Linked DNA regions of Cricetulus griseus. The protein of the gene in region 2 purifies or fractionates together with the protein of the main gene of each other region. This does not show direct contact. Links are inferred from orthologs where the notes say so. Each region holds a gene or a part of one and is shown on either strand. Other genes may lie near its edges.

Region 1 (4,126 bases), on a different chromosome or scaffold from region 2:
GACAGTGAACCAGACTCAAGAAAAAAAAAAAACTCAGGCTTCTCTTTCCCTCAGCAGATAAGTTGGAGCTAGAGTTGTTTGTTCTGCCACCAAGCCCACTGAAAACAAAACCATGGTGTTCATTACCTATAATATAGCTCCACTCTGCCAACTGATCCAACTGCCCACACCAGGGCATCAGATCATTCAAGCATGGTACGGATTTGACAACAGGCAGTCAGAAATTACTTAGAGGCCTGGGGGACACGAAAAACAAGCTGCTGAGTGAATGAGCACCAAACCTCAAGTGGCTAAAGCTCATAGACACCCTAAGCAATCTCTTGTTTCTTTTTTGAAACTCAGGGTCTCACTCTCACTGTGTTACCCAAGCTGGCCCTGGACGCCTTAACAGCTGATTACAGGTGTCAGCCTTCCATGCTGTATCTTTCAGTCTTAGGTTCTGCTCTAGAACCCAGACAGACAGAGGCCAAAAACACCAGACCAAAATCTCAGTCCCCAAAGAGCTCAGGATCAGGTCCAGGCAGACCATACTACTGTATCAAGATGACATTTCCGGTTACCAGGAATATCCACACCCAGTCTGCAGGAATAAGTACTCTGCCCGCCCTTGCCATGTTTGAGCATCCGGTCATTACGTTTCTTAAACAATGTCATTATATCAGACATACAACAGCCTACCAGGAAGATCACTGTCTGGAGCCCGCCAAGCCACTGCTTCCACTGGCCAAGAGTGGTCCATCCACAAACTGAGCAATGCTCTGAATGAGATGCAATGAATGCCCCAGCCTCTCTTCACCTGTCAGAAGATGGTGACAGGGGAAGCATAGAGGACTCTGGCCACTCCACTCCACTCCACCACTATCTCTGGCTTTGGCTCCCGGAGCACACATAGAAAACTTCAGTTGACTTTTAAAAGTCTCACCCAAAACTGTCCTAGACAAGTCCTTCCCCATGCGGACTAAGGCCACAGTCCAGACCCCCAGGCCAGTTTTCAAAGAACAATAGTATGACAGACAGTCTTGCCTACATTTTAAATCAATATATAGAAAGTTTATTAGCCAACCAGAATTAGGCACCCTAATTCAGTTGCTACACCCTTGATTAAACAAGGAACAGGGTTCCTCAAAACATCTAGAGCTCAAAGTCCACTCCCAAACATCTATCATCAGCAGGAGGGGAGCCGACCACAAGGCTGTGAGGCATGCAGCAGGTGGATGGCCTTAACTGTCCACTTTTCAAGCTTCCTTGACCATTTGAGGCCCTTCCATCTAGGTGCTGGACCTGCTCTGCAGAAGGTGTCCAAGTGGATGGGGGGCAGGGTTATGGGGGGACACCCCTAAGGCTCCTCAAATAAGCTGCTCACACAGTGTGCCTGCCTTCATTACCAAAACACACACCAGGGTTCAACCAGAGGGAAGTCTCAGCCTGCGAGTTTTGCTCACCTGTTCCGAGACACCTCCATAATCAGAAGTTCCAACCCTTACAAGCTGACAGTTCAGGGGGAAAGGGAGGCTTCGCCTGCTAGGGTGCATCGTATCCAGGCCATATGTTGGTCTCTGAGCTTGGTGTCCCCCCAGCCCCCATGCCGCGACCTCACAAGAGCGATTATGCGTTCATCCCTGTCCACTCGGCTTCGTCACCGTCAGCACTCTGCTCCCCTCTCAGGCAGGGCGGCCACGGGAAATGCCCTGGTCTGCCTTCCGGGCACACAGATGCCGCCCTTATGCCTCTTGCTCGCTCGCTCATTCCGAAGCGAAGCAGCCTCCCCAAAGGGGCAAGTCTCAAGTATAGGAAAGCACAGTACCCGGACCACCCCCACCCCGGCTGGGGCTCTCCCCCGCTTGCCAGGGACTGCCAAGAAGGAGCGTCCTAGGAACAGGGGAGGAGACACCTAGGTCGGGAGCAGGACACCAAGCAAGCAGAGTCTAGATGGGAGGGTGAGGATGAGAACGGCGGGCTGACGCAGACTAAGCCAAGTCGTGAGAAGTCTGGGGGAAGGGGATCGCTAGGGCCAGGGCCAAGGAGGTGCAGGTGGAGGGCACAGCAGGAGTAGAGTCCAGACTTGAGGACCACGGACAGAAGATTCCATGGGGGTGAAGGAAACAAACGTAGGCTAAGGCCACTAGAAAGGGGTCGTCGGGGTCCAGGCTGGGGCCATGGAGAGAAGAGTTTGAGTGGAGGGGGCCTAGCATAGGTCGCAGCAGCGAGAAGCACCATCCTAGCCTGGGCCCTGGGGCCGAGGTAGGGAAGCCTAGCTCAGGCCGTGGGATGCGGGCCTGAGAGAGGGGTGCCTGGCCCGGCCTCTAGGGGAAGGAAGGTCTAGCCTGGGATCCTCGAGACTAGCCTGGACATGCCGGGGAAAGAACCCGGCTCCACATGGAGCCCAGGGCGGGGTCACGCACCACCCGAGCCTCCCGCCGACCCCTCCGGACCTGAGGGGTGGCGTCTGCCCAGGGTCCCGGACCCCACCCCTCCCCCACCCCGGGTCCCACCCTCCCCGAGCCGGCGGGTCCGCGGGGTAGGAGACGGGAGCTCCCGAGGGGGGTCCCGGGATGGGGCCGTGGAGGGGGTCCCTTTACCATGGTGGCGGCGGCGGCGACGGTCCCTGTCCCGGCGTCTGTAGCTCTCCCCCCCGCAGCAGGGCCCGGCGCTTCCACTTCCCCCGGGTGCCCAAGAGTGAACATCCGGGTCCGCGCCCCCCTCCCCCCCACCCGCGCCGGCCGCCGCCACCTTCCTTCCCCGCCAGCCACCCCCCCCACGCCGCCAGCTCGCGGCCAATGAGCGAGCGGGGCCGCGGCGATCGCCAAGTATGGAGCTCTGCGCGGGGGGCGGGGACGGGGGTGGGTCCTGTGGTCGAGTGGGCGTGTTCTCATGGGGGAGGGCGGGCCCTACGCGGGCCAGGCGCGTTGGTTCCGTAAGCCCGGGGCTCGCGCGTACCGGAGGGACCTAGGCGGCCGTGGCACCCTCCTGCTGCCCACTTCGCCATCTAGCATCTGGAGGACACGGGGTACCTGAGGGTGGAGCGGTTCACTGGCCCCCCTGGGCGGAGGATGCGGAAGGCCCTGAACTAGGAGGGGACCGGCCCTCCGCGCCCCACCCGGACCCGGAACTGGTGCGCCAGAATGGGGCCCAGCCCCTAGAGCGCTAGCGGAGCCTGCACTGGGACGCCGGCGCTGCCGCCCCTGTGGCTGAACACCCGCTATCACGACCGGGGAGGCAGCCTTTAGGTACCAGAAGATGACAGGAGAATAAGCCTGAAGGATCCCTGCCCGCACTTCCTGGCTACCAGACAGGGTGGTCGTGAGGAAGACGCGGGTACAAAGATAGAACATTTGGGTTCAATAAATGCTGGCTGTTAGATATACTTTTCTACATTACCTGCAGAGAATCAGCCTTTTTGCCAAATGAGTCTTTTCCTCGCTCCATCCAGTGACTCAGGAATCCCTCTTTGTTTTCACAACTGAAGATTGAACTAGAGCCTCATACTTGCTACGCTGATGTTCTTACACTGAACTGAAGTCGCAGCCCTAGAAATGCACTTTTCAAAATGCTTTGTTGAGTTAATCTAGACTGCAAATCTTGCTCATAATACCTACCTACCAGACTTGCTCACCTTCTATTTAAAATCAAATCAGGTCGTAGGTGGGAGTGGGGATCAGTAAATTTCATCCCTGAAAGATTATGCCCGAGGCCTCTGAGCTCATAAACAAGTGAGAGCCTTCAGGAACAGCCAGTGAATGGTTAAGTCCCTCAAGAGTGGCAGTAGACCAGTATTACAGGAGGTCAGAGAAGGGAGTGGCACTTAGAAAGTCATCACTCCATAAGTATTTATTGTGTAACAATTGGCCAAGCATTATGCAGACTATGGAGATTGCAGCTATGGGCAAAATATCTCATGCTAGCCTAGAGTTTGTAGGTGAAATTTCGCTTCAGGAGATGGAGCCTCCTGCAAGCTGGATATGTACACCTGCCCTGAGTTAAGGCGCTGCTGAGCTTGAATGCTGTCAGGAGGTGAGTTAAGAAAAAGCATCAGAGTGGATGGAGGAGGTAAGCAGAGGTAGCTAAGCACTGTGTGGTGGCATTTGGGAGGATGGTCCAAGGCAGCAAAAGATGGGAGTGGAGTGTA
Region 2 (4,126 bases):
ATTACTGCAGAGTTTTAAGTTTCTTGTTCTTTGATCTCAAGATGTCCCCTGTATTATAGTTACTTTGCTCTCTGTTGTAAGCAATTGCTAGACAAGATGCAATGTTAGGGGGGAAGGGTTTAGTCTGGCTTCCGGTTGGAGGGATGTCCACCATGATGAGGAAGGCACCGCTGTAAGAATGTGATCCTGCTTGTAGGCCACTCGCCTCCACAGTCAGAAAGCAGAAGGCTTTGCATGCTCCTGGTTCAGCCAGCTTTCTCCTTTTTATACAGCCTGGGGTCACAGATGATGCAACACTGTGGCCCACATTTAGAGTGGGTGTTCCCATCTCAATTAACCTAATGTAGATAATTCTTGACAGACATGCGCGGAGATTTGTTTCTAAGGTGTCTCTAGATCCTGTCAAGTTGACACTTTAAACCATCACATAGCTTGTGAAGGAAGCCATAGTCCACCGGATGCAGGGAATATTGTCTACACAGAGCCAGGGCTGCAGGTCATAAAATTTGCCTGGTTCAGTTAGAGCAATGTGAAATGATCCCACCAAGTTTCCCCTCTCCACTGTGTCTGCGAGGGCTAGGAATCAGAACCCTATGGTCATTTAAGGCAGCAGGGACTCAGACCCATCAGTGCAGGGGCTGGTAAGGACCAGTTTCCTTTGGCTGTGGGCCTATGTGTATACTCTGTAGGTGGCCTTCATCTGATTGATCCTAGTCTTTTAGCTTTTCCCATGGACCAGTAAGCAGCTCCTGAAAAGAGCCTTCATGACACACTCTCTCCTGACACTTTGCCCTTTGTGCAGGACAGAGGGCAAGGTGTGCGGGTGTTGAGGGCCTGGAGCTCCTCGAAGGGTTGGTTCACCCCGCTTGATCTGGCTCGGCTCACTCCTGCTCTGCTAGGATATACTCTGGTCTGACCCACCAACTCGGCTTAGCTTTAACCAGATTTAGGTTCTGCTCGCACTCCCTTGACTTGGCCTCACTCCAGTAGGAACACCCTTTCTATTCGGCTTGGCTTGGTCCGGCTACTCCCTCTCCAGACTGGCTCGGCTCTGGGGTCCGGCTGGGCGAGGCACCATCTGTCTGTGTTCCACCCTGAGCAACCGAGCCGGGATTTACTAAGGCTCACCCGCGTTCCAGCTGGCCCCACTAGAGTAAGAACCCAGGTTGGGCTCAGCTCGCTGCTTCCAGCAGGGCTCACGCTAAGAACCGCGGGGATCCAGGTGCCCCGCTAGGTTTGGCTCCGCCCTTCTTGGGGGAGCCACGCTCGTCCATCCCTTATTGGCTCAACTCCACCCCTCTCCACTCGACGATTAGTTCGGCTCCACCCCAAAGTTCGCCTAGCTTTGGTGGTCTTGCTCCGCAAGACTTCTCTGGTTTCTGCCCGGCCGGGTCCAGCTCAGCTCCACCTATCTCGTTTCGCCCGGGTTCGGCTCGGCCCCACCCACCTCGCTGGTTCCCGCCCTGATCGGCTTAACTCCACCCATCGCACCTTCTTGACTCCACCTCTCTGGTTTCGGCCTTGTTCGGCTCCGCTCGGCCCCACTCGGTCGAGCAGGAGGGGCGGGCGACAGCCCTGGAAGTGACGCGGCGAGGGCGGGCCCGAGTTGTAGCCTCGGTCGCCGCCTCTCGGGCCGGGAAACGATGTAGGAGCCGCCAGACGGTCCCCAGCTCTCCCCGGCCCGAGCTCCGCGGCCTGTCGCCGCCGCAGCCGCCGCCATGAAGAAGCAATTCAACCGCATGAAGCAGCTGGCTAACCAGACTGTCGGCAGGCGAGTGCGCGAGGGCGGTCCTGCGCGCGAGGAGCCGAAGAACGGGGAGAGCCGGGCGCGGCCGGGCCTGGGCCAGCGGGGCGGGGGTCTGCGCCAAGCTGCGGCTTAAGCGCTGCCCATTGTCCTGCCCTAAGGACCATCGCCCTCGGGGGACCCACGCGAGCCCTTACTCCTCTCTGTCCCCGCCAGCCCGAGCTTGGCGCCTGCTGCGAAAACTCCGCAAACTTGTGTTCCTAACGCAGTGCCAGGCGCGCCGCTTTGGGGGCAGCGTTCCCAGGCTCTCCCAGTCGACCCGCTGTTGCAGCCTTCCTCCAGAAGAGCTTGCTGGTCACAGGGAACTGGAGGGGTGTTAATGCCAATGAAGTTCAGTCTCCCAGTGAAGGAATAGAGACGTGCAATCTCAAAATCCAGGCTATTGGGAACTTGTTGCGAGTTCTTGACGTTTACAAGTTTGGAAAGGGAAAAGGATGTCTTTTCTCCTCTTGGATGCGGAAACAGATATTTTGTTTCTTTGATACTGCTTGAGTGCTTGATAGGAAACATTGTTTTTTCTTTCTTTTTTTTTTTTTTTACATGAAAAGATACAGGAGAGACTGTAGATGAGTAGGCTGTGGAACAGGAGCGATTTGCGGTTTTTAAGAGCTTCAGGAGGCTGTTGTCATGTACTGTGCTAACTGTAACAAATATTTCAAGGTCTTGCAGGGCAGATAGCTGTGCTGAACCACTTTGCTGTTTATTCTGCACGGAGATAGATGAATTTTTCACAGCTCTAACGCTTTCTCTCCTCCCCTGGCAGTTAAGGGGAGTTTGGTTTGGTTGAAGCACGTGAGACACTTCTTTTTTTGTATATGTAGGAAAATACTTTTACTTCCTCTTGAGTTTTCTAAATTTGCTTTTTAGAATGTTTCATTTCCCTCAACTTTTTGCTAGGTTTTGTTACTGAGTTTCAAACAACAACAACAAAAATAACTCATGTAATTTTGGTATGCATTATCCTTTATCTAGAATCAGTCCCTGCCCCTTAAACCCAGACATGCCTACTTTACTGCTGCTTGTAGAATTAAAGAAAGAGGAAGATCAAGACAAACAATCCCAATGGCTCAAATGAAAAACATTATGAGAAATAATTTCTTCTGAGTTGTGCACCCCTTTCTCAGCCATGCATGGCAGAATCAAAACTTAGTGAATACCAAGATATATTTGTTAGGTTGCTGTTTATTTACTTATTAGACTGCTTTGTATTGTGTGGTACAAGGGACAGTTGCTGAAAGCTCTGTAGGGTTCTGTGGGCTCCTGCTTCCCCTTAGCTTCCCTTCCTACTTTTACATTCCAGCCATACCTACCCACTTTCAGTTTCCATGGGAGGCCTGTGTTTCTTCTGTATTATTCTCTTCCTGGACATCCCGGAAGCCTTTTTCACCACATCTAGCTGATAGCTACCTCTTTCTCATTCTTCAGGTCTCTCAGTGATAGTCTCTGTGCCCTATGAAGGTCCTTGGGGCATAATACCATACGCTGCCTGCTTTCTAGACTCAAACTCCCTCTTTACCTGTGTGTGTTGGTTGTTTGACTAAGCACTCTTGAGTGTCTTTCCTATGTGTCTTTGGTTCCCACGATTTGTGACTCCTATCTCATGACAGATAGCCTGTTGAAATTGTTAACTTCAGGAGTCTAGCTCTTACTACATTGCCTGGTGCTGTGGTATTAAGTTTGGGAAAATGTGAACAGGATAGAGTGGTGGTGATTCATACTGGGACAGTAATTCCGGCCCTGACCTTTGACTCTTTGAAAATCTTTATTGCTAGATGCCAGTGGAAGCTGCAGCTATTGCAGAGCTCTAAGGGTGTGGCAGCTATGAGACTCAAGTCAGAACATCTGTTTTTATTGGGGAGAAAACCTGTTGCTCTCTAGCTGTTGATTTCCTAGATCTCGATATCTCCCTCCCTCCCTCCCTCCCTCCCTCCCTCCCTCCCTCCCTCCTCCTGTGTGTGTGTGTGTGTGTGTGTGTGTGTGTGTGTGTGTGTGTGTGTGTGTTCCTATTTAAGTAACCCTAAGGGGTAGAAAGAAAAATAGATGACAAACCTGAGAATTATTATTGAATGGAGCCAGATGATTGATAGGCACCAGAAGCAAATACGGGTGTATTTGAGTAAAGATCTTTTCTAGCACAGATTTCTCCCAGCTGTGATCTGTATAGAGAAGGAATTTATATATGTGAATGCCCACTGTTTGTTTATCAGTGTATAGAGTTGTAGATGGTACCTTCTGGTGAGGTATTCCTGTAGGATGGAATGGCTCGTGAGTAACTCCACCATGAAGTTTCATAGCACCAGTAAGTGGAGGATTAGCAGTGCC

The links. The genes of interacting proteins can lie anywhere in the genome.
Region 1: the proteins of Arhgap17 (region 2) and Capzb purify together in Homo sapiens (affinity purification with mass spectrometry; 3 studies listed by BioGRID and IntAct, with this or other methods). This does not show direct contact. The link is inferred for Cricetulus griseus from reciprocal best matches to the Homo sapiens genes ARHGAP17 and CAPZB.

The regions. Positions count from the first base shown.
Region 1 is NC_048595.1:14,117,373-14,121,498, forward strand, and holds the start of Capzb (F-actin-capping protein subunit beta), read right to left. Parts: upstream 2,700-4,126; 5' UTR 2,685-2,699; coding exon 2,580-2,684; intron 1,548-2,579; exon of another isoform or gene 1,533-1,547; coding exon of another isoform or gene 1,443-1,532; intron 1-1,442. UniProt on the Homo sapiens protein: F-actin-capping proteins bind in a Ca(2+)-independent manner to the fast growing ends of actin filaments (barbed end) thereby blocking the exchange of subunits at these ends.
Region 2 is NC_048596.1:77,347,850-77,351,975, forward strand, and holds the start of Arhgap17 (rho GTPase-activating protein 17), read left to right. Parts: upstream 1-1,581; 5' UTR 1,582-1,718; coding exon 1,719-1,771; intron 1,772-4,126. UniProt on the Homo sapiens protein: Rho GTPase-activating protein involved in the maintenance of tight junction by regulating the activity of CDC42, thereby playing a central role in apical polarity of epithelial cells.